4 linked regions of the Mus musculus genome follow. The main gene of each other region encodes a partner of the protein of the gene in region 3 in a complex. Links are inferred from orthologs where the notes say so. Each region holds a gene or a part of one and is shown on either strand. Other genes may lie near its edges.

Region 1 (6,710 bases), on a different chromosome or scaffold from region 3:
AGAAATGTGCCCAGTAGCTCATCCCTGACGCCTATGTGAAAGACGTAATTATCCTCACAAGCAACGCTCTCGGAGAGCTAAGGGGCAGAGCCAAGCTTCAGCATAGATCAGGCCTGTACTTCAACTGCTACACAGTGATGCTTGAGTACAGAGAGGTATCAAATCTGACCAGCAAAATTTCAAAAGGCTGGTGGCAGGAAATGTGGTCAAGTGCTTTGGGAAACAGATACAGGCATTTAGATACTGAAGCAATTTGGCAAAAGATTATCAAAATTTAGAATAAGCATCTAGCACACCCCACAATAGATATGCAACTTCTTCTTTTAAGATTTAGTTGTTTTGGGCTGGTGAGATGGCTCAGTGGGTAAGAGCACCCGACTGCTTTTCCAAAGGTCCAGAGTTCAAATCCCAGCAACCACATGGTGGCTCACAACCATCTGTAACAGGATCTGATGCCCTCTTCTGGAGTGTCTGAAGACAGCTACAGTGTACTTACATATAATAATAAATAAAAATCTTTAAAAAAAAAAAATTAAAAAAAAAAGATTTAGTTGTTTTTATTTAATGTGTGTGTGTTTGTCCTTCGTGTATGTGTGTGTGTGTGTCTGTGTGTGTGTGTGAGGGAGAGAGAGAGAGAGAGAGAGAGAGAGAGAGAGAGAGAGAGAGAGCCAGCCACATGCACGCTGAATGCCTCCAGTGGTCAGAGAGACCATCAAGGGCCCTGGAACCGGAGTTAAGGATGGTTTGTAAGCCATTACTACCATGGTGCTTAGAACTGCTGTCTAGAACAGCAGAACTGAACCAAGGTCCTCTGGAAAAGAAACAAATGCTCTTAACTAGGGAGCCATCTCTCCAGGCCCCCTAGACACACACCTTTTCAGCTGACCGTTCTATTCCAGAAATACAGCCTTCACAAACATTCTCAAAGATCCAGCTGTGATGGTGCATACATACAGTTAATCCCAGCACTCGGGAGGCAGAGGCAAGCAGATCTCTAGGAGTTGAACGGGTCAGCCTGGTGTACATAGAGAGTTTCAGGGCAATATAGTGAAACCCGTCTAAATAAAAGTAAAGTAAATGCCAATGATGCCTACACACAGATGTACAAAGCAATAATGCTGAAATAGTCAAAAAGAAAAAAAAATCACGTGAGTTAGCCTAAGTCAAGGTGCCATCCAGGAGGGAATATATTCATTGTAATATATCCAGACTATTAAAGGGTCTATAACCTTTAAAAATGGATGACCACGTTGTAGAAATACACAGAAAACAATTTTAGACATAACAATTAACGAAAGGTAGTTGTGGCAGAACAACAGGAACTACACTTTATTTGAAAAACTAGTGTGAGAAAAAGTGTAAATTCACAAGGCCAGGTGTAGATTCCTAGTGTTGTGTGTGTGTGTGTGTGTGTGTGTGTGTGTGTGTGTGTGTGTGTGTGTGAGTGGGGGGTGGGAGGGGCTGAAGGAAGGAAGGAAGGAAGGAAAGAAGGAAGGAAGGAAGGAAGGAAGGAAGGGGTGGAGTGAGCATCACACTGTTTAAAATTGAAAGAAAGAAAGAAAAGAACAGACAGGGTGGGGTGGGCGTCAGATCACAATGTCTAGAACAGCAGGATTCCCCTCTCTTCCTCCCCTCCCCCCTTCATACAAACACACAGCCTGAAAGAACTTGTTTTTTTTTTTTTTAAAGTTCATGCATTATTTATTTATAAAGCATTCATATAACAAGGTCATTTTTTTAAAGCCACAAATACAGGCAGTATATAAAGTAAGCCTGGAGCCATGTACTCCTGCAATGGCCCCTTGTTTCAGATCTTCCTCAAACAGATGAGAAGACGTTAATTCCATTATTGGACAAATTAGTGAACAAAACTGATAACAGTGAACAAAACTGATAATAAATATTCCAATGATCTGTTTTTATAAAATACTAACTGGTAGGTTAAAGCAGACAGGGGACTATCTGGTGGGGAGGGAAACGGCAAAGGGGGGGGAGGGGAAGGGCCCTGCTTCACGGGAAGGACTATGATCGAGGATGAGGGAAAACTGACACTACAGTAATGCTTTATCATGAAAATGTCTTAAGTTCACATGATGTAGTTAACAATTAAGTTAGAAAAAAACCTAAGCAGTATTTGTAGTTGGCCCAAGTTAAAAAACCAAAAAACCAAAAATTTTATTTACATTTTTAAGAGCCTCATCTTCTTTTTCTTGACTAATAAACACACAAAATTACAACAAAGTAATAAAGGAACTGAAAATCCCAATAAACCAATAGGCAAATTCATCATAAACTGACCAAAAAAAGAGGCTCAAAACACTGCTGTTGGTTTTTCTTTGCCAACATTACAGTGGTGCCCTGGCAAGCAGAAGCAGGCTCAGCTCCATGGTTCTGTGTCTGCAGTCATCACTAAGGTTTGTAGAGCCTCACCCCCACCCCCACCCCCACCCTCACCCCCATCGTGTCTGAGCTCCCAGGGTTACTGACGCTAAGGGACCTGCACATTGATCAAGATCCCCAATAGTTCTGATGAAATGGTGTGAGAATGTAACTCCAGCCATCTGAATCCTATTGTCCAGCAAGGCCACTGTTAGCCGGTTAGGATGCCGCCAGGAGCCTCATTCACTCCTCATTCACTCCTCTCTCAAGTCTGTAAAGTCAATCAACTGGACTGAAGCTCTACCAGGGCCTCAGGTCCTGAACAAGGCCGAGACGAACTCCAGATGGAAAAGGAAGCATTTCAGAGAGTCTTAGCCTTCTTGCCAGGTGTAGTTTTTGTTTGGTTGGTTTTTTTTGCAAGTCACTGACCCTCCATCTTCTCTTCACTTTCACAAAACAAGCTCCTCTCAGTTCGTTTCAGTTTCTGATACTGATGCTTTTCATCAGAGTGGAAGACTGTTCTCATGCAAAGGAGGAGGCTTCTGGCAATCCTGGGGAGAGCTGCATGCTTGTGATTGGTGCAGAGACAGGCAGCTTGGATAGGAAATGACAGCCCCATGCATGTTGGTGCATCCCTACCACGCACTCACACACGGGTGCACACACACACACACACACACACACACACACACACACACACCATCATCATCATCATCATCAAGCAGGCTTGACATCCTCAGGTACAGCTCAGTAGGAGGTTTTAACACTGGTTGAGCTTGAAGAGTAGGAGCCGGACTTCCTGGAGAACTTGTTGGAGCTGAGCGAGATTTGCATGCGATTCACAGTGCGGACACTTCGGCAGAGGAGCGCGTTTCTGGCGTGATCCCTGAAATCTTTTGAGACAAAGTAATAGACAAAGGGGTCTATGCAGCTGTTGAGGGTCGACAGGCAGAGGGCGACAAGGTAGAGGGCGTAGACGTGGCTCTGCCTCTGGGTTTTGATTAGGAAATAATGCACTACGAGCAGAAGGTTGCTAGGAGCAAAGCAGATGAAGTACATGGCCAGCACGGTGATGATGAGTCGGATAGCCCTCTGCCTTTTCTTCTCTGAGTGTTCATCCATAGCAGAAGAGCGGAGCGTCTTGATCATGAGCACGTAGGCAGATGCAGTAAGGAGGGCCGGGAACAGGAAGACTCCAATGGCCAGTGAGAGGAAGTAATTGAACATGTCCCCCACCAATACCTCCTCAGGCAGCACATCGTGACAGGTGGTGATGTTCAATGCTGGAATGTAGATGGTCTGCTTCATGACATACAAAGGGATGGTGACCAGAAAAATCAGGAGCCAGATTGCCAAGGAGACGCCAACGGCGATGTTTGCCTTCTTCCTGGGGTGTCCCATGGGGTTCACGATCACCCAGTACCTCTGCACGCTGAGGCAGGTCATGAAGAGGATGGAGCAATACATGTTACCATAGAAAAAGCCAATGAGCACCTTGCACAGGGCCTCCCCGTAGACCCAGTTGTTGCCATGTAGGTGGTAGGAGATCTTCAGGGGGAACCAGATGACAGAGAGGAGGTCGGCCAAGGCCAGGTTGGCCATGTAAATCACGGCGGGGTGTTTCTTCTTCGTTCGGAAAAGGAAGATCCAGAGGGCCATGCCATTACTGGGCAAACCAATCACAAACACAATAATGTAGACGACCGGAAGAAAGACCGTGGTCAGCTTCCCGGTGAGGATGGACGCAGAGAACTCATCGATGGAAAAGCCTGGTTCTACCGGAACCCCTTTCCCAGTGATTGGAGGCTGGGTTTCTAATCTGCCAATAAGACTTCTTCCTTTACTGTTGTTGCGTCCTGTACAAAGAAAGCGGAGCAGAATCATTACTGAGATAAATGGTCCAACAGTAAGGCTGCTGTGTTTTAAATGGAACATTTCAGATGAACACAGACAGATGTCATTAGAGTATTGCAGACAATATTCTCTTTCAGTGACCGACCGTCCTACACAGGGCAGTTGGTGACGGTTGAAGTCTAATTCTTGTGTGTGCTGGCAAGTATTTTACCACTGAGCTACATCTTCGCCCCGACAATGGTATTTCATTAACAGTGAGAGTTTTGGGTTCCGTATAGGACAGCGACTTCTAGAAATCTTAAGACTGACAGGGTTTCATTTTATTTTCTTTAAGTAGCTATACTCATTAGTTCTTTTATTTGATCACACAACCACCAGCAGTCTTTGATTGGTCAGTTAGTAAAGACAGATAGATGGATGATAGATAGATAGATAGATAGATAGATAGATAGATAGATAGATAGATAGATAGATAGATAGATCAGTCTAGGATTGTGTGGTAACTCTTCCCGAGTCTTTGGTGAGTAAGGCAGCCTTGTCTTGCCATCAGCTGTCTTGGTTCTCATTTTCTATCCTACTCTGGCCTTAAGCCAAGATTCAACCTAGCCGTCAACCACACCCTGCCCCAGGGGCCAGCCTAGGGAGATTCCAGAACCAGGAGGCATTCCCTTGTCCGCCCACAAGAAATACTATAATGGGTAGGCATTCCCCACCTCTCTGCTGGCTTCATAAACATCCTCCCACTGAGCTCAGTTGGCAGGCAAGCCTTTTAGCATCAGGACCAAATGTGCTCTGACTTTTGAGCGTGTAACAGCAAGCTTTAACTTAGGATGCTTCCTTCATACCATGAATTGAACATTCTAAACCACAAATAACCCTGGGCGTGGTAGGTTGTGCCTATAGTCTCAGCTATTTGGAAAGCTGAGGTGAATGGACTGTTTTCACTTAAGGAATCTGAGACCAGCCTGGGTGACATAGTGAGATTCCATCCAAAGCAAAGCGAAACAGAACAACCCTACCAAGCAGTGACGGGCAAGCCCAGTCTTCATCCTGCCCCATCCTGTATTCCCTCACTGACCTGAAGGAGGAAGGGTGAACGCTAAGGAATTTAACTTTAATGATGAGACTGAGGCCTCCACCGTCTGGAAACACCTGAACATTGTTCACGTTGACAAGGAAGACAGTATACCTCTCCTGACTTTCTCTAATATATTGTGTGCTCAGTTATCTGATCCGCTTCTGGTTCCAGACTCAGGTTCTACAGGACCGTTCGCTTCTGTAGGCTTCACCACGTTGCGCTGACACAGGGGTAATGGGAGGAGCACTGGAGGTTACAGAGATCAGCAGTTCCCTTTCCACCCACTGTAGAAAAATAAAGATGCTCCCTACCCAAAAAAGAAGGTGTTCAAGTCCTAATCCCCAGTAGACAAGGGTCTTTGCAACCCTAAGGTACGATCTTAACAACACTATCCAGGTTATCCAGTCAGGCCCTCGGTCCAATGACAATGGTCTTTTAACAAGACATAGGGAAGCTGGGGACAGAAAAGGAGAAAACAGCAGAGTAAACAACATGATGGACAATGGGAACAAAGGCTGGCACTGTGCCAAGGGGCACCAAAGATGGCAGCACCCAACCGGATGCTGGAGATGGGCAGATTCTCTTTCCCCACCACTTTCATTCCTGACCCCTCACCTCAGAACCCAGAGAGTAGCATCTGTTGTTTTATAGCTCTGCTCATCACAGTGGCCTTAGGAAAATAAAAGCATTTGACGTAAACATATATATTGTTTCTATTTCTTCTATAACTGTCCAAAAAAAAAAGCACTTTTTAAAAATTAAAATGGGGGCAGAGAGCTGGAGAGATGGTTCAGCGGTTAAGAGCACTGGTTCTTTCAGAGGTCCTTAGTTCAATTCCCAACAACCGCATGGTGGCTCGTGACCATCTGTAATGGGATCTGATGCTCTTTCTGGTCTGCAGATGTATATGCAACAGAGCACTCATATATTAAATAAGATTAAAAGAAAAAATTAAAACAAGGGCTGGAGAGAGGGCTCATCGGTTAAGAGGACTAGCTGCTCTTCCAGAGGTCCTGAATTCAATTCTCAGCAACAACATGGTGGCTCACAGCCATCTATAATAAGTTCTGATGTCCTCTTCTGGCATACAGGTGCCATGCAGATAGACTACTCATTCATAAAATACATAAATCACTTAACAATTTTAAAACAAAGCCAGGTGTAGCGGCATATGCCTTTAGTATGGGACTTTGGAGGCAGAGGCAAATAGACCTCTATGATTTTGAGGCCAGCTTGATAGAATTATAGAATTCCAGGCCAGCCAGGGCTATATAGAGCTCCCATCTCTAGTTAATTAATTAAAAAATTAAAACAAATATTCCTAAGGAGATGGGGAATGTAGCTCAATTGGTAGAGTGTTTGCCTATTGTGTACCAGACACTGTAACCCCAAGACTCAG
Region 2 (7,390 bases), on a different chromosome or scaffold from region 3:
TATATGTACGAGTGCCTATATGTGTATCATGTGCACGCCTGGTGCCTCAGGGGCTAGAAGAGAGCACTGGGTACCCTGGAAGTAGAGGTACAGGCAGTTGTGAGCCTCCGTGTGGATGCAATCTGTTCCTCTGCAAGAGCAGCAAGTGTTCCCAACTACAGAGACATCTCTCCAGCCCCTCGATACCATATTACACATGGGCACAGAGGCTGCCAGGTCTTCTAAGTTAGAAAGGTAGCTTTTGGGGGCTCAGCCAAGGAGTTCTCTGATATAAGCACTGCCCAGATTTCTGTTTCCCAGTCCTGCCTGATGTCTACATTCCCTTTGTTTAAGGCAAGATGACTTGGATGGCACGGCAGAGTGGGGTCATCCTCTCTCTCTCTCCGCTCTCACTCGCAATGAGTCACTGAGTACTGTGCCTCGGTCTGCATGGAAGAAGCATTTGAATATCGATTGTTTTCAGTGCCACTGCCACAGCCCCCATAGTTTGGGATACAGTCATCATAACCAGGGTGGTTTTGATATCTTTAAATGAACTCATGCAAATCCCTATGTAAGCACCCTTTATTCTCTCTACCTTGTTTAGAACCACCGACAAATCCTAGAATTGACATGCTATTGCAGGCCTCGGGTTTTGTTAGCAACGGGTTTTGTTTTCCTGCCTGCCTCTCGCCACTTTAAATCTTTCTCCTCTTCCTTTAACTGGTGGGGTACCTCATCCTTCAAGATTCAAGTCAAGTGGTGCCTCTTTCTTTATGAACTGAGCCTTCCTCCTTGGTTGGTAGAACTGACCACTCTCTTCCCTGCTCATGATACCTCCACCTGTATATACGAGTTCTGTCCCTAAGAGGAGGGATGGACTCCTTAAATGCTGGGACTGTGGCTTTCTAATCCATCTTACCCACAATGGTTAGCGTGGTTCTGTGCACATAGAAATGTTACTGCAGATCACATTTAATAAATGAAAGCCTATGTTGGACGAACGTGAAGCACACGGCTTTCTAGAGTATCTGTGCTGTGACCTTACATTGTGGGACTTTTATTCATTTACAGCGTCACCACAATTGTTAATATGTTACAATATATTTGCCTTTACTAAAAAGCTGGTTATGAAAATCTATAGTAACTAAAACTCTAAATCTTTTAAATACCCCTCTCTTCTGAAATACACAAGCTGAAGCTGTGGCTCAAGGCAGAGTTGGAGCTTCGAGTATACAAGGCTAGGAATTAGTTCCCAGGGTGTGTGTGTGTGTGTGTGTGACACATCCTTCCAATGAGAGCAGTAGCTAGGGATAGAGGGGCAATATTTGCAGTCCACCTGCCACAGCTATTCTAACCTGGGATGCTATTCAGTGATAACGCCAAACTGTCACCACATAAGCAGCAGAAGTATTATCTCCGTATTTACCTTCTCAATGGGAAGGTGCATGATTCACATTTATACAGCAGTGTACATTTTATGGTACACAATAAAATGAAATCATAGGAGTTAAGTTAATCTGAACATTTCATTCAAAAGCAAGAATTATAGCAATGAAAAAAACCACGGCCAACAGACAACACAGCCAGCCTATGACGACAAGACACTCTTTCCCCTCACGCCGGTAACACCAACAGCACGTGGACACACATCAAGGGACAAAAGTTTCATAGCAGCCAGTCTGTTTGGTGACCAGCAGCCAAATGCTATTCCTAATCAAAACGGTCTGACCTCACCTCAAAAATCAGATTTCTTCATCCTGATCACCCTAGAACCTCAGGGTCAGTGAGCTCTGTTGGGAAAGCCTTCCCAAGTCTCACAGACCCATCTATGTACACCCACAGTGGACTTTGTGTCTTTCCCTCAGAGGGTTTATGTTAGCTTGCAATTACATAGTCGATAATCATTTTACTGACAGCTGCCCTCCCCCAAGCATCTGTAAGCACCAGGAGGGCAGGTTCCTTGTCTGGTCTTATTGACCATCTTGTTCCCAGGATCTGGTGTGTAGCTAGGCTCTACAAACACGTTAAGTGAATACTGATGTTTTTTACATTTTTGTGTCTCTGTTTATAAGTCATGCACTACCCCCTCATCAGCCTTGCACCTGCACCCAGCCCAATCCATTCTCTAGTTACAACGTCATCCTTAAGTCTGCAGGAGAGGGAACAGCTAATGCCTGAACTTTGCAGGATCCAGTTCAACAAAGGAAAAATGAGGAAAACAAGGGACACTGGCATAGATGGAGGTTACTTTAAACAGTTTACACAGCTTCTAAAGAACCTCCTATACCGGTAAAAAAAAATAAGACCAATTACTCTGTCTTAATCTACAAACATGGTTTGATTCGTTGATTATGGAAAAGAGTTGATGATGTGAGTTATCAGCATGAAGACCACATGTGTTCCCTTAGCAAAACTCCCCAGGGTCAGCTCCTGAATGACAGGGGCTGGCCCGGGGTTCCTCTGCTCTCAAAGATGTTGGTCTCCTGCTCCCTCACTGTTCCCTGGTCTCCCTGATTTCTTCCTTTGTGTTTTCTTTTTTTCTCTGCCTATCACAAAGCCTTGCCCTGTTCACAGGGCCAATTTAAAAGCTCACTTTTCCAAGTCCTCCAGAGGGAACACCCCAAGCATGCCACTTTGGGAACCTGGAGCCTGGAGTCCAAATGGGAGGGGGAATGAATTCTAGGCGGCAGAGAGTTTGGCAAGACAGCCCTCCTTCACCTCCCCCAACAGTGAACCGCACCACTTTACTGCACTGAGGAATCCTGGAGAAGAACGGGTGGGAACTTGTTAGGAGCTCTTCCCCAGCATGCCTCTTTCTCAGAATACTGAGAAAGAGAGGAAGGAGGGAGATAAAAGACTCAGAACTGAAGAGAGAAAGCACAATGAGTAAACTCATGTTAGAAAGGAAACTGGTCTCTAGATATGCATTGGTGTTATTTCCAAGTTTACCGTGTGTGTTGTTAATCAAAAACTACAATATCAAAACAATAACTCCATCAACTTACTTTTTTTTTTTTTTACCTCCAAGGAATATGGAGGCTGGTGACCAGACACCCTAATTTGGAGCCACTGAGGCAAGTACTTTGGTAGGGCAGCGCGCGCGCGCACACACACACACACACACACACACACACACACACACACACACACACGCCCGCGCCAGAAAGCTACCTCTCTCCTTGTCAGTGGGAAAAGTTCTCTTTGACTGTCACAGGGATAAATAAACCGGAGGCACAAGACACACCCCACTTTTTTTTTTTACTGTGAACTCTATTCATCTTTGTAGGCATCCGATCCGCTATCCCTGAAGCCCAGCGTTCAGGGCTCCCAGGTCTGACCTGCTACTGTTCGCTGCCCCCAAACCTCATCAAAGCCTCCTCTGCCACTCGGGTACGTTATGCCCGCACTTCTGGTGTCCCCAAGTCCTACCTGGAGTCCTTGTCGTGGCTCTTTCCACAGGAACACCTGCTGGCCCTGTTTCCCCAGGACCAGCTGGATGCTGAGCTCAGGATGCAGTACCAGTCTGCCGGGCTTGCGATGTCAAGTTAAGTTGTTTGAGTAGCGTGCTACCCTCTAAAGTTCCCTGTTCGCCTTGGGTCAAGCCACTGCCTCCCAGCAGACCCTCTGACGGCCACTGTGGCCCGGTTCGGGGCTCCGCCCCTTGCCTGCTCTCGCCTGCGTGCTTCCTGGGGTCTATGGCCCCCAAATCCCTCCAAATACACTTACAGTCCGTGCCCTAGCCCGCCTGGAATCTCCCAGGCTCCCTCGATCTCTCAGGTCAGCCTTTGAGCTGTGCGCTCCGGCGCTGCGGGCGCGACGTCCCTCCCCCTAGGCCACCTGTCGGGTTTGGTACCTGAGAGACCGAGGTCTAGCGCTGGAGTCCTCCTGTCTGCGATGAGGCTCTAGCCATCCCAGGCTTCCGATCCTGCTCCTGCTGTTGGTCTGGGAAGATACAACCCCCTCCTTCCCCGCAGCACACACGCTTCCCGCTCCTCCCTGGAGATGGAAAGAGGATCACAAGGCAACTGTGCCAGAGGATGGGGCACTTTTTTCCTAGTAAAGATCCAGAACTCACAGTATAATAAACACTCTTAGGCGTTCTGCTAGACTCCAGCGTTGCTTCAGCGGGCTGTACACAAACAGCCCCCTCCCTCCACTACCCCAGAGATCTGGTAAGCTTTGCCCCAGCATCAGGGTGTGCTTCTTGAAGGTAGGAGAGGCCAGCCTGGCTCACAGTTGTGCTCAGGCTCTGGCTCAGCGCTGGCCACTCATCATAATACTTGAATGAAATGGAAAAATCAATTTATTTGGTAGAAACCCAGCATTTGCTTTTCAGCCCTAAAGCCTATCAACTCCTTTGTGTAGGCAATTTGATAGCCAACACACACACACACACACACACACACACACACACACACACACGAACACACGAACACACGAACACAAACTAAACAAATAGAAACAGCCAAAACAATTTTTGCAGTACTTTGTAGTAATTTCCAGAATAAAATAATGTTGCGATGCAAATATATATAACAGGTTCATTTTCAACATAAAATAATAATATTTAAACAATGGCGTTATAGCTATGCCCATCAAGCACAGAGGAGAGCTACGTTCAAGCTCCTGGGATCCATACGAAACCTGCTGCATAGCGTGTCTGCAATCCCAGGACTCCTACATCAAAATGGGAGACCTTAAGGCGCTAACGTGTTTATAAAGCCACAGACATTGTTCTGGAGTAAGGTGAAAGGCCAGCACACATGAATGTGTACACACACACACACACACACACACACACACACACACACCAAAATAAAAGCAACAAGTGAACAACACCGAACCTGCCAATAGGAAATAGGTTAAAGAACTTAAGGTAGTGTGGCTTAATGGAATCCTACCCAACCGTTACAATGCAAGCATGGAGACTTCGGTGCCTCCCAGTCTTCTTAGAACAGATAGTGTTTATTCCTATGAACCACAATGAGTATTTCAGCCAGACATCCATAGTAGTCCAATAATGGTACTTTTATCATGGGGATAAACATCAATTGTCTAATCAACTAAGACTCCCTCCATAGGGATGAGTTCATGCCTGGTACCATAAACCTAACTACTTGTGCTTAGAGAAGTCTTAGGTTTGAGAGGGGAACTCATATCATGGCAGACATGTTTCTACAGATAAGTGTAGTTCTTTTTTAAAAAATAAAGGGGGGAGGGAGTTTTTTCCCAACAGATAGAGACTGTTCATTACACAATACAGAAAATAAGGGACTATGGAGAACCCTAACTGATACACCTGCCATAAAACAACTGCACCTAAGGCTCATGGGAAATTATGAAAGATCGGGGAGGGGAGGAAGATTGTAAGAGGCAGGGACCCATGATGTTTGGTATGAGATAGTGTTTCCTAACCACAACAGGGAGAAATCAACCATGGAATCTCAACAATATGGTTGCTTGGACCAGACAGCATAATTCAACCCAGCGGCTGAGAGAGAGACCCCAAGATGATCAGGTTGTATTAATTCTCTCCAATAATGTTTGAATTGGGGTTTGGTTAAGTGACACTCCCAGGAGCAATTGCTATGCCCATTTTACATGGGAGACTGGAGCCCGTGGAGGTGACGGTATGGAGGATGGAAGAGCTATGAAGCTGTAGAGTTGAGGCTTACCCTCAGTCAGCTTGAATACGTGAAGGGCGTGGCCACCTGAACAGCGTGCATGAATATGCATCCTCCACAGGGCTTGGTTTTGAGTAGCGTGGGACCCTGACTCTAAGAACAGTGTCTTACCAGTCAAAGAAGTTGCATCTTTTCTAATTCTGTTCCTGTGGATTAGGTCAAGGAGGAAGGATGATTTTTGTGCTATTTATCTTTACACCTCCCTAAGGTTTGCTAATCTTTTGATTTAACAACAGAGCTTGACTCTCCCTCAGAGCCTTTGCTAGGCAACAGCTCCTAAGTAGAATTTAATATCGTCACTTTTTCTTCACTTTTCAATCCTATTTCTTTTGTGGTAATTTTGAGCTAAGTTTACATAAGTAGGAGAGTCATTGAAATGACCTATGGAAAGGATTACTGATACTTGAAATTTGGAAAACACTGCCCTACATTCCACTGAGCCCAGTATTCAGAAGCTATGGCTGAAGCAGCCATAGTGAATGGTATTGTCTAACAAGGGCTGCTGTGTACAGGAGTGTGCGCATGCGCATGTCTCTCTCTCTCTCTCTCTCTCTCTCTCTCTCTCTCTCTCTCTGTTTGTTTTGTTTATCTGAGACAGAGTTTCCCTGGCTGTCCTGGAACTCACCCGCTCTGTAGACCAGGCTGGCCTCGAACTAACAGAGATCTATCTGCCTCTACCACCTGAGATGTTTCCGATGCTGCTCAATAACACTATGTTGGGCGAGGCGTTAAGTTCCTGCCAGCCAGGAGAATCCCAGTCTTGGCAGCAGAGTTATCCAGGGGCCTGGCTCTAGAAAGACGAACTTTAGAGTCACTTATGTTAGCTCCCTTTGAGGACAAAGATGGAAGGAAAGTTCCCAGAAATCTGAGTGCCCGCAACTGCAGTATCACAATGTGATCATTGCATAGTTAGCAGAGTGCCTGCAGTTGCTTCCCGAGGTAACTCTTTGCAAAGAAACGTTTGACAGGATTTAGAAATCTTAGGGTGCTTGGTTGTAGTTCAATCATTTAGCCCCTAATTATATCCCGTTCTGTGCATTCCTATTTACAACCAGCTCATAGGAAACCCAGGGCCGGCATTTTCTTCCTTTTATACATCCACATCTCTGGTCTTCAGGCTGCACTTTAGGAGGCTCCTGTTGTCTTCCAGGCAGCTGCCACTGCTGTTCCTCTGATCCTTTGGATCCCTCTATGTGCAATTTATAAAATAAAAAAAGTTACATAGGATTCTCAGCACTCTAAATAGGTTTAAGATGCTTCCAGTACAACTGACTGGTTTGGAAACTCAGGGGGTACACTGTAATTGCCCATTGGTTATGCATGCTTCGATGTTTACGGTAGCCTGAGCAACATTACCTGAACTCTTATTTATCATACATTTTGCTTTGCCACCACAATTCCTGGCTTGTAACTCCAGCCTCTAGGCAGGTCATAAAAATTCTAATATTTTCCTAACTTTAATTGACTACAAGGAAACTTTCTAACTTCTTTCATCTGAAAATACATCTTAAGAATCTGGACAGGCCTTGTTGGTCCCCACCCAGTCAGTTAGCAATCCTTCTATGTAATGAGGTCTCCATGGAAACCTGAAAGGTCAGAGTTCAGAGATCCTCTGGGTAAAGGTTCCTCACTGGAAAAGGCCATGTACCTAGAAAGGACATGAGAATAAAGTGGTCCTTTGCCCACAGCTCACCCACACCCCTGCCACAGCTCACCCACACATC
Region 3 (7,229 bases):
ACTTTAAAGATTAAAAAGGCATTAAAAAGAAAAAAATTGTCAGTCTTTATAGCAACACCATATTTTGGTATCTCCAATATGTTTACATTAGAGGGTTCAGGGCAGCCAATCCTGACAGCTACTGAGAGCGAATTGGAAGGATGCTTAAATGTGCACAAAGCAACTCTCTCTAACTTAAGTTGGACACAGCCCCAACTCCCAGCCTCCCAGGTCCCTTCTTGCTTTACACCTGCAACCTTCAATACAAATACCAGTTCCTAACTGTCTGTACTTAACCAGCTGAAGTTCCCGCATATCAATGTATGCATTAATCACAAAAATCGTTTTGATAATCAGAGAAGGAATATTAAAAATTCACTATGACAAATGCGTAATGGGAGAAATGCATACATAGAATGAAAGGTGTGAACTAGCCTGTATAAGCAGTAACCAAAGTATAGAACAGACAGGTCTTCCTCACACTGACATTCTATAAGCATGGCTGACTCTGAGCTAATGGTGCATGCCTATGACCTCAACTGGTCAAGAGGATAAAGTAGGACACAAATCGGAAGCTTCCCTTGACATCTTAGTGAGCCTTGTCTCAAAAAGTAAAAAGAGAGCGGGGGCTCCATGTTGGAGCACTTGCCTAGCAAGTGTGAGATTCTGGGTTCGATTCCTAGTATCAAATGCTACTCCCATTCTAACATACCCAGCACAATACACACCCTGCTGGGATGCACATCTAACTCATGGCTCAAAGAAGCGTATGATTATCAGCAAGTACTGATTAAGACCATTCTTCCAGATCTGTCTTAGAAGCTGGGATGTAGAAGTGAACAAAAGAACACAATCTTACCCTCAGGAGTTTGCAGAAAGGAATATATAAAAAGGCTGAAATGTCGATTTTATTCCTTTCAAAAACCAAATGCATATTCCAGTTAAGCCTGACCTAAACTTGTCTCCTTTCAATAGAAAGAATCCATCAATAAAAAGGGATTGCTAATTTGATGACTAAGGTCTACAGAGTAAAGATTTTAAACACATGTAAAAAGATCAGGTCAATGAGGAGGGACGAGATATCTTTAAGAAACTGAATAAAATTTCCCAGTGAATATCTACGACCTAAAGCCATTTGGTCCTCAGAGACTTGAAGACAAATCAGTAATTAAATGCTGTGATCTATGTACCACCAACAAAAATATCTAATGAATATTCATGATATTCAATTTTATAGGCAAGACAATATATACTTCTATACCTAGTAAATGTTGAGTATCAAATATCTTCTTTATATCCTATATAGAATACAAAGTTTTCTTTGAGGTGTCAAAGAAAACAAACACTAATATGAGGGAACTAAATAGAATAAGACAAAAGTTACTAAGTTAAAATGAAACTCTCGACTGTGATGAAATAAATGTCAGAGATCATTCTTCAAGAATGAGATCAAAATGTGTAAGCTCTGTAGAATAAATGTGGAACACACTGGCCTAACTGATGGATAATGACTCAAAAGAGCCCAGATTTTACAGGCACACTTGATTATCTAGTCAGATAACCAGTTTTGTGATGCGTCTATATTTTAATAAGTAAATAATTAGGTGACCAATATATTGCACCCCTGTGGAACAAACCCTTCCCATTAAGTGTCAACCCTGAGTTAATACTTACTTTGAAAACAATTTTACACAGAACTTCAACACAAGCATGATCCCTCCATGTAAATAAGAGATCAAAGATGTAAAAAGAACTTTAAAATGTGATGACATACATTCTATGATCTCCTCTGGATGGCTGTTGGTAAAATGAATGAAAGAACTAGGAAATGAAGACTACTCACAAGGCAGCACACCAAGAAGGAGCCCCTCCCCCAGATGCTCCCTTGTTCAATTCAACACTCATTTTCCTGCTAAAGTCATACCCAGACAGAGAGAGAGAAGTCTACCCTTAATGTCTATCATGACTACACAAACAGTGTGGATACCGCACTTGGGAAAGAAGCCCCTCCAGGCTGAGGGCAGCCGTGGTTGCTAAGGATGTCCAGGGCGCCCGCTTCTGACTGAGAACTGTATGGTTTTTAAATGTTGCTCGTGGATGTAGGTGCTGAGTAAGTGGCAGGTTTCCTACCAGCTCCAACAGCCTGTCATTGACGGGTGAGGTGGGGCCAGGTTAAACCCTGCTCCATCTAGAATCAGTGCGGGAGGGCCGCCACACACCTACAGCTACCACTTTCTTAGCTGGAGAACTGGGGGGGTTTCCCCCTCGGGAAATCACTTCCACGTTCGTTTTTTAAAGCATGGTATATTATTAAAATACACAGCATGTAATTAAGCATCTCTCTAAGTGTATTCCCCTCTCAGGCATGTAAACCTAGGCCCTCTGACAAACCTAACTCATAGCTGCTGGGAAACCTGGAGCTGTCAAATTTCAGGCAAATAAGTTTGGTCAATGAGACCTCAAATGCCCTGTTCCTAGCTAAACACAAACATATGAAGACTATAAACAAAGGAAAATTAAAAGCCAGGTCTAAGAGAAAAATCTCTAAAACACGTGTCTTTCCTCTTAATTGTATACTGGATCAACATATATTTATCCCACTTGCCCTTGCTTCTCCCTTCTCAATTAAAAAAAAAAAAAAAAGATAAGACATTCCATTTTCAGCCTTGAGAAGAAACAGAAATGATGAGGGTGGACAGGCTTACCCAGTTTCCCCATTGCTCTGGCTTATTCCCCCTGAAACCCATCTTTCTAGTCAGCCCCTTGCCTTCTAGTCTTTATGAACACATTATATGTGCACATTTACCTAACTGGATTTCAATATAAAGACCTTGGTTAAGGGAAGGGAACAGCATTGGGAACCATGTGTGATTATGATATTTTGCTCCTGACGATAAGCAAGCCAGGCCCCAAGGTAATGGGTTCTTGGAGCCAGCACATGGAATGCTCCAGATAGCAAAAAAAAGAAAAATGAAAAGAAAAAAACGGGGGGGGGGGGGGTGTCTTCTCAAATCCCAACAATGCAACATTCTTTTCTTACAGAAATGTTTGTGAAGCGGTAACAAATAAACACAAGTGCAGACATTTTTCAGGCCTGTTCCTGCAAAGCAGTTCTTGCTTCCTACCACAATAGCAATAGTTATGTCATGCTAGCTTGTACATGGACCCTGATCGCTTGATTCCGAACACTCTCTCGGAGATAATAATCAATATAGCTCCTATTTGAAAATAGCATTTTCTTGCTAATTTCATGTTAAGGGAGAATGTTGGGTTGTTGTTTTGTTTTGTTTTGTTTTTTTAAACGCGATCAGAGGGAAATTTTCTCTCACTCTTCCCGTTTTTTCTTGGAGCCCAGATGGCAAGATACTAAAATGTCCGTTTTAAACAAAAGGTTTCTGTTTGTTTCCAGGAGAGTAACTGAGAGGCTGCGCTGGTTTCCAGTAGAAACTGCTGTGAATTCAGGCATACATCTGGGTCGCCTCATTAAACAAAAGACACCCGTCTGCTGTCAACAACCACACAGTACAACACTCCCGGATCCTTCATCTTTATCCGGAAGGAATGGTTCATAGAGACGCCTGTCACCATCCACTGGCCATGCAACTCTCTGGGGTCACTCCTGTCAGTGGCCTGGTGGCTACAGTATAGCACATTTGGGCTAGTCTTCCCGCCCCGCCCCTGCCCAGTACGTTAACCCGGGTTTATTGGAGCGCCAGCCAAGGCTTCCTCAGCACCTTTCCTAGCAGAATCCAGACCGGGGTCTGCTCCCCGTTTCCACCCTTCCCTCTCCACCCCACAACGCGCCACAATGGACGCTGGCCGACCACCGCACTGCACGCCATTGCCCACCCGCGCCGCTCGCGCGGACGCTCAGCCGTCCCGCAGACGCTGTGCACCGAGCACGGCCCTAGCTGACACCAAAGGCGCACGCCGCGGATCCGCGCCCGGGAGCCCCGGCCCTCGGCCCCTGGGTGCGCGCGCGCGGGTGCGGGTGCGGGTGCCGGCCGGGGACGCGCGTGGGGAGGGCAGCGGCGAGCCGGGGCGGGGGGTACCGGGGCCCAAGGGCCGCACTCACCCAGCAGCAGCAGCTTGAGCTCCCGGCGGGCGTCGCGCTTGTCCCTGCGCAGCTGCCGCTCGATCTCGTCGTTGATCCTCCGGGCTTCCTTGGCCTCCTCGCTCAGGCAGCACGCCATGATGGACTCCAGAGTCATTCTTCCGAAGTGCCTCGCTGCAGCCCCGCCGGCGCCCTGCTCACACGCGCGCACACACGCCCTCCGCCCTCGCTCCCCCGAGGCAGCGGCGGCCGCGGAGCCCCGCCGCCCGGGCGCGCGTCAGGGACGAGCTCAGGGGAGCCGCGGTAAAGGAGGCGGCCGGGCCCGCAGCCCAGGCGGGCCGGGAACGAGCGGGGCCGGGAGCCTGGGACGCGCGAGGAAAGGCCGCCGCGCCCCGCCGCGCTCACACGCCGCCTTCTCGGAGAGCGCGCGGCCCTCCAGGCGCCGCCGCCGACGCTGCCCAAGGCTGTGCGCCCAGCGGCCCGAGCTCATCCACCGAGGCGGCCCCGCAGCGAGCGACCGCCGACGGCTCAGCGCGCCCGGCGCGCCCGCTCCTCGCCGCCGCCGCCGCCGCCGCCTGACTCGGCTCCGGGCGCCCTCGGCCTGCCCGCGCCCACTCGGCTCGCTCGCAAACCGGGCAGCCGGCCGCCGCGCGCTCCCCGCCTCCGCCCCCGCCTCCGCCGGACGCCCACCCGGCCCGATTGCCAGGCGCGCCGCGGCTGCTCAGTGCTCGCCCTCCCCCTCGCCACACACACACATTTTCTCCTTTCTCTGAACTGGAGCACAGATCCGGGAGGGGGCGGCGGCGGCGGGAGGAGGAGGAGGAGGACGGGCGCAGGGGGCGGGCACAGCGCAAGGGGCGGGACCGCGGCCCCTCCTGGACAGCTCGCGCTCTCCTCGCCCCGCCCCCGACTGCCCGCCCCGCTCGCCGGCCGCCTCCCTCTGTGCGAGCTCCGGCGCGGCGGTCACGGCCGTTGGAGCGGGTCCGGCAGGCGGACACCGACCTTCGGCTGCCGCTGGGCTGCCGGGGCGTGGTCGGCGAGAATATGGCGGCCTCGGCCTGCCCTCTGGCCGCTGGCGCTGCGGGAGCCCTGCCGGGAGCCCACGCGCTGCGCTCCGGGCCTCTCTGCAGCCGGGCTGCCCTTTCCTATTTCTAAAACGCCATTGGGAAGAAGCTGCCTCGAGTGGCCTCTGACCCAAGATCCATCTTAGAAGATGGGATGCTCTTTACTAGGGAAGAGAAAGGATTGTCACTGGCTCTCTGGGGGTTACTGAGGGATCTGTGGACGGAACTGTCCTCCTTATCTCCAGATAGGAATCTGAATCCTAAAGAGAAAAAAAGAAGCTGCCCAAGTTTCCAAGAGCCTCCTGATCCGTTCCAACTTTTCGGGTCACTGAGGTGGTTTCTGTTTTCCTACCAGCACACTACGTTAAACAGTCTGGTAATGTAGGATTGACCCTTCTACACCGTGACAGTTAAGGATGACTTCTGGGAGAACGCCAAGTAGTACAGAATGAAATGAAAGAGACAGATATGGTGGCTCACACCCATAAACTCCACACTCCACAGGCTGAGGCAGGAGAATTGCTTCCTGAGCAGTATGAGACCTTGTAGCAAAGAAAAGGGGGAGGGAGAGAGAATAAAATAGGAGAAAGTGAAGAAACTAGTATCATTGGAGCAAAATTCTATTTGGTTTTTATACTTCTAATTTGAGGTGGTTTACTAATAAATAGAAAATATCTTGTTCATTCAAGGTTGTATTGGGGAAAAAAAAAGGTTCATTCAATTCAGTGTGTCTCAAACATCAAGAGGAGAATCGTACTATTTTTCCTGACTTTATAGATAGAAGTGGGCGCCTCCACATTTCATGCTTTTCATAAACTGCTCCTGTTGATCTGGGCTGCAATGTAAGATCATACCCATTGCTGCAACTTAAGAATGAAACAAGTCTTGGACTTCAAGGTCTCTCCTCTGGTTTGCCTTATTCTCCACCACCACCACCACCACCCCACCCCATCCCCCACCCCCACCCCCACCCCCACCCCCACCCCCCCACCCCCGTGATACACTGCATGCATACATTCAGCCTCTATGCCAGGACTCAGATGGAGTTGTGGACGTAAAGTCTGTATGTAATACTCTGCTTTTAAAAAAGATACCTTGCCAAAGAAGCAAAGAAGCAAAGAAGGTGAACCTCTCACCCCTTTTATATGAATACCATCAGAGCTGGTGTAGACTAGCTGTGAAAATGAATATTTAGATACTAAAGATTCAGAGTCCAAGGCAGAAATGTAAAATAGAAGAATTGGGCAAGAATTGCAAGTAATACCCAGCCCCCCCTCGTGGGGGTGGGGGTGGGGTGTGTGTGTGTGTGTCCTAGAGAGACACAACAAGCTGGAAAACAAAACGATCAACATTTCATGTCTGGTTTCCTAAGGAGCCCCTGAGACAAATTGTGCCTTTAAAGTGTCAGTAATATATTTTGCTTAACTGACCTCTTTGTTTGTCACTTCTGTCTCAGCCCCAGGGACATGCCCTGGTACAGATATTTAAATTGACAAAAAAAAAAAAAAAAATCAACGTATCACTCACTGGAAAGAAATCAGGAAGTAAGGAATGCCAGCAATGCACAGGACAAAGTTATATAAGGACATCAAGAGGGAAACAGGAAGAGAAAATTCCAAGCATAAACCTTTGATGGATCTGGAAAGCATTTGCTAAGCAAGTGTCCCTATGACTTACATCAAACAAATGGAGTCCATACAGAAACTCACAGTGGTGTTGAGTGTGCTCTAGAAGAATAGACTCTAAATTATGCAACCGAACAGGGCTCATGTTACAAAATTCCAGTTCATTAAATCAACAAGCAGGGATTAACTGCTTAAATACAGTAAAGATGCAGTGAGGAGCACCCGGGGCCTACAGCATGTCCTCAAACTCTATAGGCATGTGGTCTTAAGGCATGGTGCAGCTCTGGACGGATACAGAAGAAAAAACTGGAGTTGATTTGTACAAAAATTGGGGTAAAGGTAAAAAGCATTTCAATGTACCCTAAAGAACATATAGGCTTAGCTCGGTGTACGAGCACACAGTCTTATCTGGAATAGCAGTCTGGCCTACTGAAGGAGATACCCTGTGGGGAAGCAAGGAAAAGAGGGAGGGAAGAAAAAAAGGAAGAAAGGAACAAAGAAAATCTC
Region 4 (6,590 bases), about 9.2 Mb from region 3:
TTTGGTCTGAAGACTGGCCCTTCTACTTCCTCTAGACTATGCGGAGGCCTTGATTAACCCCATCAAGCACGTAAGCCTAATGGACCAGCGGGCCAAGCAACTAGCCGCTCTCATTGGGGAGAGTGAGGTGAGTGGGCAGGACTAGGCCCACCTTGACATTGAACAGCTCTTCCACAGCTACCCCTAGCTACCAACCCTGCCATCTGATGCCTTTCTCCAGACTCTGTTGTTAAGTGTCTTATTGCAGAGCCTAGTTTCACGTCTCTCAGCCTGCCCCATGCCTGGGAAGCCTGCTCCTTTTCTGGGTTCTTTTGTCTCACTCCAACCTAGAAATGAAGTGAAGTGGCTATTGCTGCCAGCCCTAGTGTGAGGTCAGTCACATCCTTGGCTTACTGTCCTGTCCCTCACAGAGATGGGACACTGAGGCTATGGGAAGTGGCTCAGCACCACACAGCCTGGCTGGGCCTTTGGCCTGTTTTCAGCCCCTAAAGCTTGCCCTTTCTGCCATGTGGTACTGTCAGGGGATTTTAGATAGCTTACAGTGGGCAGAAGGGCTGTAGATTTTTGCTTTTGTGTGTAAACATGTTGGTTTGTGTGCACATATGTGTGTGTGTGGTTTTCCAGAGACACACTCTACCTGATTTTCTGAGATAGGGTCTCTCATTGAACCAGACTGGCTGGCCAGTGACCTCAGAGAGCCCCCTATCTTTGCCCACCCAAGCAGTGGGGTTATAGGCATGAGGTGATCCAAGCAAAGGCCCTCAAACATTTATGGTAGGTACTTTACCAATCAGTTCCAACCCCTTACTTCTTCTCCCATGCTGGATAAGGATGGAGTCCATGGTCTTAAGCAAGCCAGGCAAATGCTCTACCACTGAGCTATACCCTCGGCTCACTTATGGACTCTTGAAAGAGGACATTCCCATTTGTGATGATTTGGGTTGTGTCTAGACAGGGTCAAAGCATTGGGTATGCACACACTGGGGTACTGGAAGCCAGGGAAGCCATGAAGAGATAGTGGCTTCAGTGGGAAGGCGCCAGGAGCAGAGGTTCAGCCACATGTCCTGACCCAGTCCCCATGGGGCCTGTGGCCGCCAGGAAAGAGCTGACTGCAATTAGGGCTGTGAGGAGCTGTTAGTCGAAGAGACTGGTGCCCGCTCTGCACTGGCTTCCTTTGCTGATTAAATCAGAAGCTAAGCATCCAAGAGGAGGACAAACCACCAGGCGGGCGGGCGGGAGGGAGGGAGGGGCGCAGAGGAAGGCCCACGGAGCGGGGCCAGGCTTCTCCAAGAAGCATCTGCTCTAGGAACTCAGAGCCTTCCTGATGGCTTGGGCAAGGGTCTAGGGTGCCTGTTGTTCTCATTGTGTAGGCAGAGAGAGCTGGAAGGGGCATAGGGCATAGAGGAGGTGGAAGGATGAAGAGAACATTTTTTGAAAGAGTTTTCTCTTACAGGCTCAGGCCAGCACAGAGACATATCAGGAGACCCCGTGTCAACAGCCAGGGTCACAGCTCCCCTCCAACCCCACACCTAACCCACTGGATGCCTCACCTCGCTGGCCCCCCGGTCCTACCACTTCCTCCACTAGCTCCTCCCTCAGTAGCCCAGGTAAGGGGCAGCCTGTGCTAGGGGTGGGCCACGGGGAGCCACCCGCAGCTGGATCCCACAGCTTCTCACCACAGTCTCTGCTCTCCAGGGCAGCGAGATGATTTGATTGCCAGCATCCTCTCTGGTAAGGGGCACAGCCTGATCTGGGGTAGGGCCACCTGGTAGGCATCTGCCCCACCCAGCTCAGCCATGCCTGGCCCACCCCAACAGCTAACCTGCCTCCTTTGCTCCGCCTTATAGAGGTGACCCCTACACCTCTAGAGGAGCTCAGAAGCCACAAGGCTATGGTGAAGCTACGGAGCCGGCAGGATCGAGACCTGCGGGAGTTGCATAAGAAGCACCAGCGCAAGGCTGTGGCCCTCACCCGCCGCCTTCTGGATGGCCTGGCCCAGGCCAGGGCTGAGGGGAAGTGCCGGCCCTCCCCCAGTGCCCTGTGAGTGCCCTGCAGCCTGTTGCCACCTGTGTTGTGTGCTGACAGGAATATCAGAGGGAGGCGTGCCTGTGAGTCTCCAGGCTGGGTGGTCATGCTCAGATGGCAGGAAGGTGGAGGCAGGTTCCCATGCCGGGCCCTCACTCTTCCCTGGGAGTGACACCTCTTCTGAGGTCTCTGGCCAGGAATCCATCAGCTGTGTGAAGTGTGAAGCTAACGGGACAGCTGCTGGCCCTTGCTAGGCCTCCTGATTTGCATAGCATGGCTCACCTAGCTGGTGCCTGCTGCTCTGCTGGCATGAGCTCTGCCCTAACTGTCCTCCTCTACCGGAGACCTGGCACTGAGAAGGTTCCCTATAGGGGCAAGGCCACCAACTCGGAGGACGTGAAGGAGGAAGAGGAGGCCAAACAGTATCGAGAGTTCCAGAACCGACAAGTACAGAGCCTGTTGGAGCTGAGGGAAGCCCAGGCAGATGTGGAGACCAAGCGGAAGCTGGAGCATCTACGACAGGTGAGGGACAGGTGAGGGGCACGTGGTACAGGCGACGAGAGCCAGCTTCCTGGGTAGCTCTGCCGTCAGCCCCATGTTACCTGCTGGCTGCTGCCTGCCTCCCCAGGCTCATCAGCGGCTCAAGGAGGTTGTCCTGGATACACACACAACACAGTTCAAGAGGCTGAAGGAGCTGAATGAAAGGTACTGACAGATAGAAGGTCCTGGGTGAGGGTGGGGGACTCTGGTGACCAGAGTCCAGCCTCTGACTCCCCCTGCTAATCTGTGCTGCTCCAGGGAGAAGAAGGAACTCCAGAAGATCCTGGACAGGAAGCGCAACAACAGCATCTCAGAGGCCAAGACAAGGGAGAAACACAAGAAGGAGGTGTAAGTGTGATGGGAGCCACTGAGTGAGGGGAGGCCGGGACAGAGCCTGGCCCTGAGCTGTCCCTTTTACTTCTGCAGGGAACTGACAGAGATTAATCGGCGGCACATCACTGAGTCGGTAAACTCCATCAGACGGGTGAGTGAGCCCCACCTCCCCTCCTTCACCAGCAGGAACTCAGCTTTTCAGTGCCCACCTTGGTGCCACATTTTTTCTCCAAAAGGCTCCTAATGCCTTTCCTCCGGGGACTGTACCAACTGCCCCTGGTCCCTGCGTCATATCCAACACCTTGGGAGCCCTGATATCCCTCTGCCCCAGTGACCCCCGCCCCAGGCCTTGCCCTTCCCTCAGCTGAACTCTTGCCCGCCTTTACAGCTGGAAGAGGCCCAGAAGCAGCGCCATGAACGCCTGGTGGCAGGGCAACAGCAAGTCCTCCAGCAGCTAGAGGAAGAGGAACCCAAGGTGAGGCCTGGAGGAGGCGCACAGGCAGGTAGCAGGGGAGCTGGGCAGCCTGGCCCCTCTGGGACACTCATCCTCTTGTAGCTGCTGGCCCAGCTGACCCAGGAGTGTCAGGAACAGCGAGAGAGGTTGCCCCAGGAGATCCGTCGGTGCCTGCTGGGCGAGACAGCAGAGGGACTGGGGGACGGCCCCCTGGTGGCCTGTGCCAGCAATGGTCATGCACCTGGGAGTGGTGGGCACCTGTCCAGCGCTGACTCGGAGAGCCAGGAGGAGAACACCCAGCTTTGAACTGGCTGAGCAAGAGGTGGCCACAAGTCTGGGTGGGCACTGGGCTATGGGTAGAAGACACTAATACTTTGGGTTTTTTTTAACCTTTTATCTTTAGAAATTTTATTTTTTTAAAATCTGAGGCAAATGCCTCACACTAACTCTAACTCCCTGCATCTTCCTGGGACCTCTTGGTCCTCAGCCTCCCCTTCTAACTTCAGGCCTAGGGAAAGGGCTAGGGCTTGTACCCCATAACATTCACCTAAGATAGGTACTCCCCGATTCCCAAGGAGCAGCTAGTGGAACCCTGGAGTTCTGGGTAGTAGAAAGCAACCCTTTATATTTGGGGAGTTTTGTTTGTTTGTTTGTTTGTTTTTTACATGAATAAAAGTGGACTTCAGGGACCCTGTGTACAGTGTAGTTTGGATGAAAACACTCTGGGCTCTAGTTCTGGTACTGCCATTTTTCTGGGGCCTCAGTCTCCTCCTCTGTAAAATGGGGTTATGCCATTGTGGTCAGATTTCTATCTATTTCAAGGTTTGAACTTGGCTGCCTTGCCTAAGGTCTGTGGTGACCTTAGTCCCTGTCAGAGGTAGCTTCTGGCCTTCCAACATCTGTCCCGAGCCCCTAAGTTTCCCAAACCCATTAATCTCTTTTCCCTCAGCCTTTCCCCATCTCTCTTTGTTCAGGCTCAGACCCTGCTTTAGGAAGCCTTCCCTACTCCCCACCCCTTCCTGTTGCCTGATATGACCCAAGCACCCAGCATCTTCTACCAGGGCTGCTGAGGGCCCCACTAAGGATTGAAGCTGAATTTTCAGATTAGTGGGAAGGGTCCATAGCTCTTAAGAGAGAAAGGAACTTGATAGTCTTAAGGGCTATTGCTGGCAGGGCTAGGATACTCTGCTGATGCCCTGTGGCCCTCTCATCCCTATGAGGGAGATGTTTTGCCTGTTTTACAGATATGGAAACAGGCCCCGAATGGAAGATGCATTTACTGGGCCATAGCTAAGTGGAGACCTGCTGGAAGGCAGGATGGCCTGCGTGTTAGCTCTGTGCTATATGGCCTTCACCAGCCGGAGGACATGCTCTGAGCCTGGGACCAGCCAGGAACACCAGAGACCCTGTGGCAAGAGAATGGGCCAAGCTCTGCAGCTGGGGCAGGCTGGCACTCCTTCAAGGCCTCTCCTAGCTTCCTGGCCGGTGGGGGACTGGCTGCTCCCCCCTCGGAGGAAGGCAGCCTCTTATCTGGGCTTATCTCCTGCCAATGAAGTGTTTGCTTTGCTTTGTTTTTGTTGCAGCCCCAGGCAAACAGATCGGGTAGGAAAGCCAGAGAAACTGGGTGGCCTGGGTTGGGCTTCCCAGGGCTAAGGCCTCAGCTCTCCCTGAGATTCCTGCCATTGCCCAAGTCACCTTCCTCAGCTGTCAGTCAGTCCGTGTCAAGTTTCCAGATCTGCCACTTTTCCGGATCCCATGTCCTATATCGCTGACTGGCTGACCTCCATTTTCCCAAACACTCCATGTGGGTTGGGCCCTCAAAAAACAAACTAAGTCCCAAGATCCTGGTGTGTCCATCTGCAGAGAGTGTCAGTTCCAGACATAGCCTCACCTTCAAGTCTGACCTACTCCTTGAGGCCCTGTTGTGGGGCCACCCCCTCCCATGTTCCGGGAAGCAAAGAGTTGTGGCGCAACTTATCTGCATATCCAGCGCAAAGCACTAGCCTGGGCTATGGGGCGCCAATAAATCTCTGAACGGAGCTCTGGGCCCTGCTCCAGGTCCCTGTGAGAAGCTTCTACGTTCCCTAGCGATCAGTCTGCCGCCCCGCGCCGCCCCGCCCCACGTGTCTTGCCAGGTCCCTGAGCTGCGCTGGCCCCAGGCCGGTCAAACAGTAGCTGCTCACAAGGACTGACCCAAATAGGAGCAAATGACCCCCCTCCCGCCTGCCCCCCGGGAGCCGCGACATGGTTTGCAGAACGCTAAATTCCGGCGGCCGGTTGGACTGCGGCTCCCAATTACCATATTAGAGATAAGGGGCTGGCAGTCCCAAGGGTCTAGCCACGCTCCTCTTCCCCACCCAAGCCAAGCAGCCCGACTCCGCGGGTTGCCTCTTCTTCCTCTCAGTCCTTAGAGCTTGTTTCTTCCTCCGGTAAAACGAGTCTCTCTTAAAACTATCAGGGATAGAGATCCGGATTGCGGAACCCCAAACGAAGGATAGAGGCGCGGCGGCACATGCGCAGGCTTTATTATAAAGCACGTTTCTCGCGACCTCGGGTCCCCAGTTATGACAGGACAGCACCCAGACCCCCAACTTAGCACAGGCACCCGAGGGCAGTCCAGAACAGGAGAGGGAAAACAGCCACTTCCGGAGGCTTAGGGGGTGGGGTGCGTGGAAAACTTTGAAACTCCAAACAGGAGCCACCCCTCCGTGGCTATTGCACGCACCGGAAGGGACTCAAGCTGTACGTCAGCTCTTCTCCCTGTTAAAGGGACACAGCGATCCTCTTTTTTTTTCCTAAGGCCTCGAAAGACTTCCGCCCACACCCAATATGGCGGGCGACGGGAGCGGGTAGAGTTCCGGGATGTGGAGCAGAAGATCACTGGGAGGGGGTGGAGCCTCCTTTGCCCAAGTTTCGATCCCACCAGGACTGGATAATGCGCGTCCAGCCGGCGCTTTGTCGCATCTGTGTTGCAGTGCCTGCGCTCTTTGGGCGAGGAAGTCCCTTCAGGGAAGGAGGAGGAAAGAGTGAGCCTCATTCTGGCATCCCGAATCAGGTCCCCACCACCAGCTTGCTCTGCACTGGGCGGTCAGAGACACGGGATGATGCGTGTGCCGGGATCCTAAATGAAACTGCACAGCCAGAGATCTAGTGTTTAGAGGATGGGGAAGAACTCAACAATTTAAAGTAGCTTAAGAAGTTGGGGAGAGGCTCAGATGCCAGCAAGCCTCGTACTCTA

What was found.
Region 1: the proteins of Gnaq (region 3) and F2rl1 are in contact, whole or in part, in a cryo-EM structure (PDB 9D0A), measured with the Homo sapiens proteins. The link is inferred for Mus musculus from reciprocal best matches to the Homo sapiens genes GNAQ and F2RL1. Residues at the interface, in NP_002063.2 of Homo sapiens: Arg37, Ile323, Tyr325, Asp346, Ile348, Leu349, Gln350, Asn352, Leu353, Glu355, Tyr356, Asn357, Leu358, Val359; in NP_005233.4 of Homo sapiens: His108, Pro109, Ala110, Met114, Gln172, Arg173, Val176, Ile177, Pro180, Met181, Gly182, His183, Ser184, Arg185, Met265, Met268, Leu269, Met274, Asp275, Asn277, Lys280, Lys281, Arg284, Ala285, Leu288, Ile289, Tyr344, Tyr345, Val347, Ser348.
Region 2: the proteins of Gnaq (region 3) and Casr are in contact, whole or in part, in a cryo-EM structure (PDB 8SZG), measured with the Homo sapiens proteins. The link is inferred for Mus musculus from reciprocal best matches to the Homo sapiens genes GNAQ and CASR. Residues at the interface, in NP_002063.2 of Homo sapiens: His63, Leu196, Gln197, Ser198, Ile323, Tyr325, Ile337, Arg338, Phe339, Phe341, Ala342, Lys345, Asp346, Ile348, Leu349, Gln350, Leu351, Asn352, Leu353, Glu355, Tyr356, Leu358, Val359; in NP_000379.3 of Homo sapiens: Lys644, Ala645, Asn647, Arg701, Val702, Leu704, Val705, Phe706, Ala708, Lys709, Ile710, Pro711, Thr712, Phe714, Phe801, Arg873, Thr876, Ala877, His879, Ala880, Phe881, Val883, Ala884, Arg886, Ala887, Thr888, Leu889.
Region 4: the proteins of Gnaq (region 3) and Plcb3 are in contact, whole or in part, in a cryo-EM structure (PDB 8UQO), measured with the Homo sapiens proteins. The link is inferred for Mus musculus from reciprocal best matches to the Homo sapiens genes GNAQ and PLCB3. Residues at the interface, in NP_002063.2 of Homo sapiens: Pro185, Thr186, Thr187, Ile189, Glu191, Pro193, Arg202, Gln209, Arg210, Ser211, Glu212, Arg213, Arg214, Lys215, Trp216, Ile217, His218, Val240, Glu241, Glu245, Glu249, Glu250, Ala253, Leu254, Arg256, Thr257, Ile258, Thr260, Tyr261; in NP_000923.1 of Homo sapiens: Pro257, Arg258, Leu259, Asn260, Glu261, Val262, Leu263, Arg707, Asp709, Lys710, Ile719, Asp721, Gly722, Ile723, Val724, Ala725, Ser845, Asp846, Tyr847, Ile848, Pro849, His852, Tyr855, Ala856, Ala858, Leu859, Ile860, Asn861, Pro862, Ile863.

What each region holds. Positions count from the first base shown.
Region 1 is NC_000079.6:95,510,047-95,516,756, forward strand, and holds the end of F2rl1 (proteinase-activated receptor 2 precursor), read right to left. Parts: intron 4,236-6,710; coding exon 3,127-4,235; 3' UTR 1,672-3,126; downstream 1-1,671. UniProt on the Homo sapiens protein: Receptor for trypsin and trypsin-like enzymes coupled to G proteins.
Region 2 is NC_000082.6:36,558,019-36,565,408, forward strand, and holds the start of Casr (extracellular calcium-sensing receptor precursor), read right to left. Parts: upstream 4,117-7,390; 5' UTR 3,836-4,116; intron 3,785-3,835; exon of another isoform or gene 3,412-3,784; intron 1-3,411. UniProt on the Homo sapiens protein: G-protein-coupled receptor that senses changes in the extracellular concentration of calcium ions and plays a key role in maintaining calcium homeostasis.
Region 3 is NC_000085.6:16,130,287-16,137,515, reverse strand, and holds the start of Gnaq (guanine nucleotide-binding protein G(q) subunit alpha), read right to left. Parts: upstream 4,833-7,229; 5' UTR 4,191-4,832; coding exon 4,055-4,190; intron 1-4,054.
Region 4 is NC_000085.6:6,951,164-6,957,753, reverse strand, and holds the end of Plcb3 (1-phosphatidylinositol 4,5-bisphosphate phosphodiesterase beta-3), read left to right. Parts: intron 1-35; coding exon 36-127; intron 128-1,453; coding exon 1,454-1,607; intron 1,608-1,695; coding exon 1,696-1,731; intron 1,732-1,847; coding exon 1,848-2,040; intron 2,041-2,396; coding exon 2,397-2,547; intron 2,548-2,653; coding exon 2,654-2,730; intron 2,731-2,823; coding exon 2,824-2,913; intron 2,914-2,991; coding exon 2,992-3,049; intron 3,050-3,286; coding exon 3,287-3,373; intron 3,374-3,454; coding exon 3,455-3,658; 3' UTR 3,659-4,041; downstream 4,042-6,590. Other genes in the region: Bad (bcl2-associated agonist of cell death), read right to left, coding at 6,230-6,355. UniProt on the Homo sapiens protein: Catalyzes the production of the second messenger molecules diacylglycerol (DAG) and inositol 1,4,5-trisphosphate (IP3).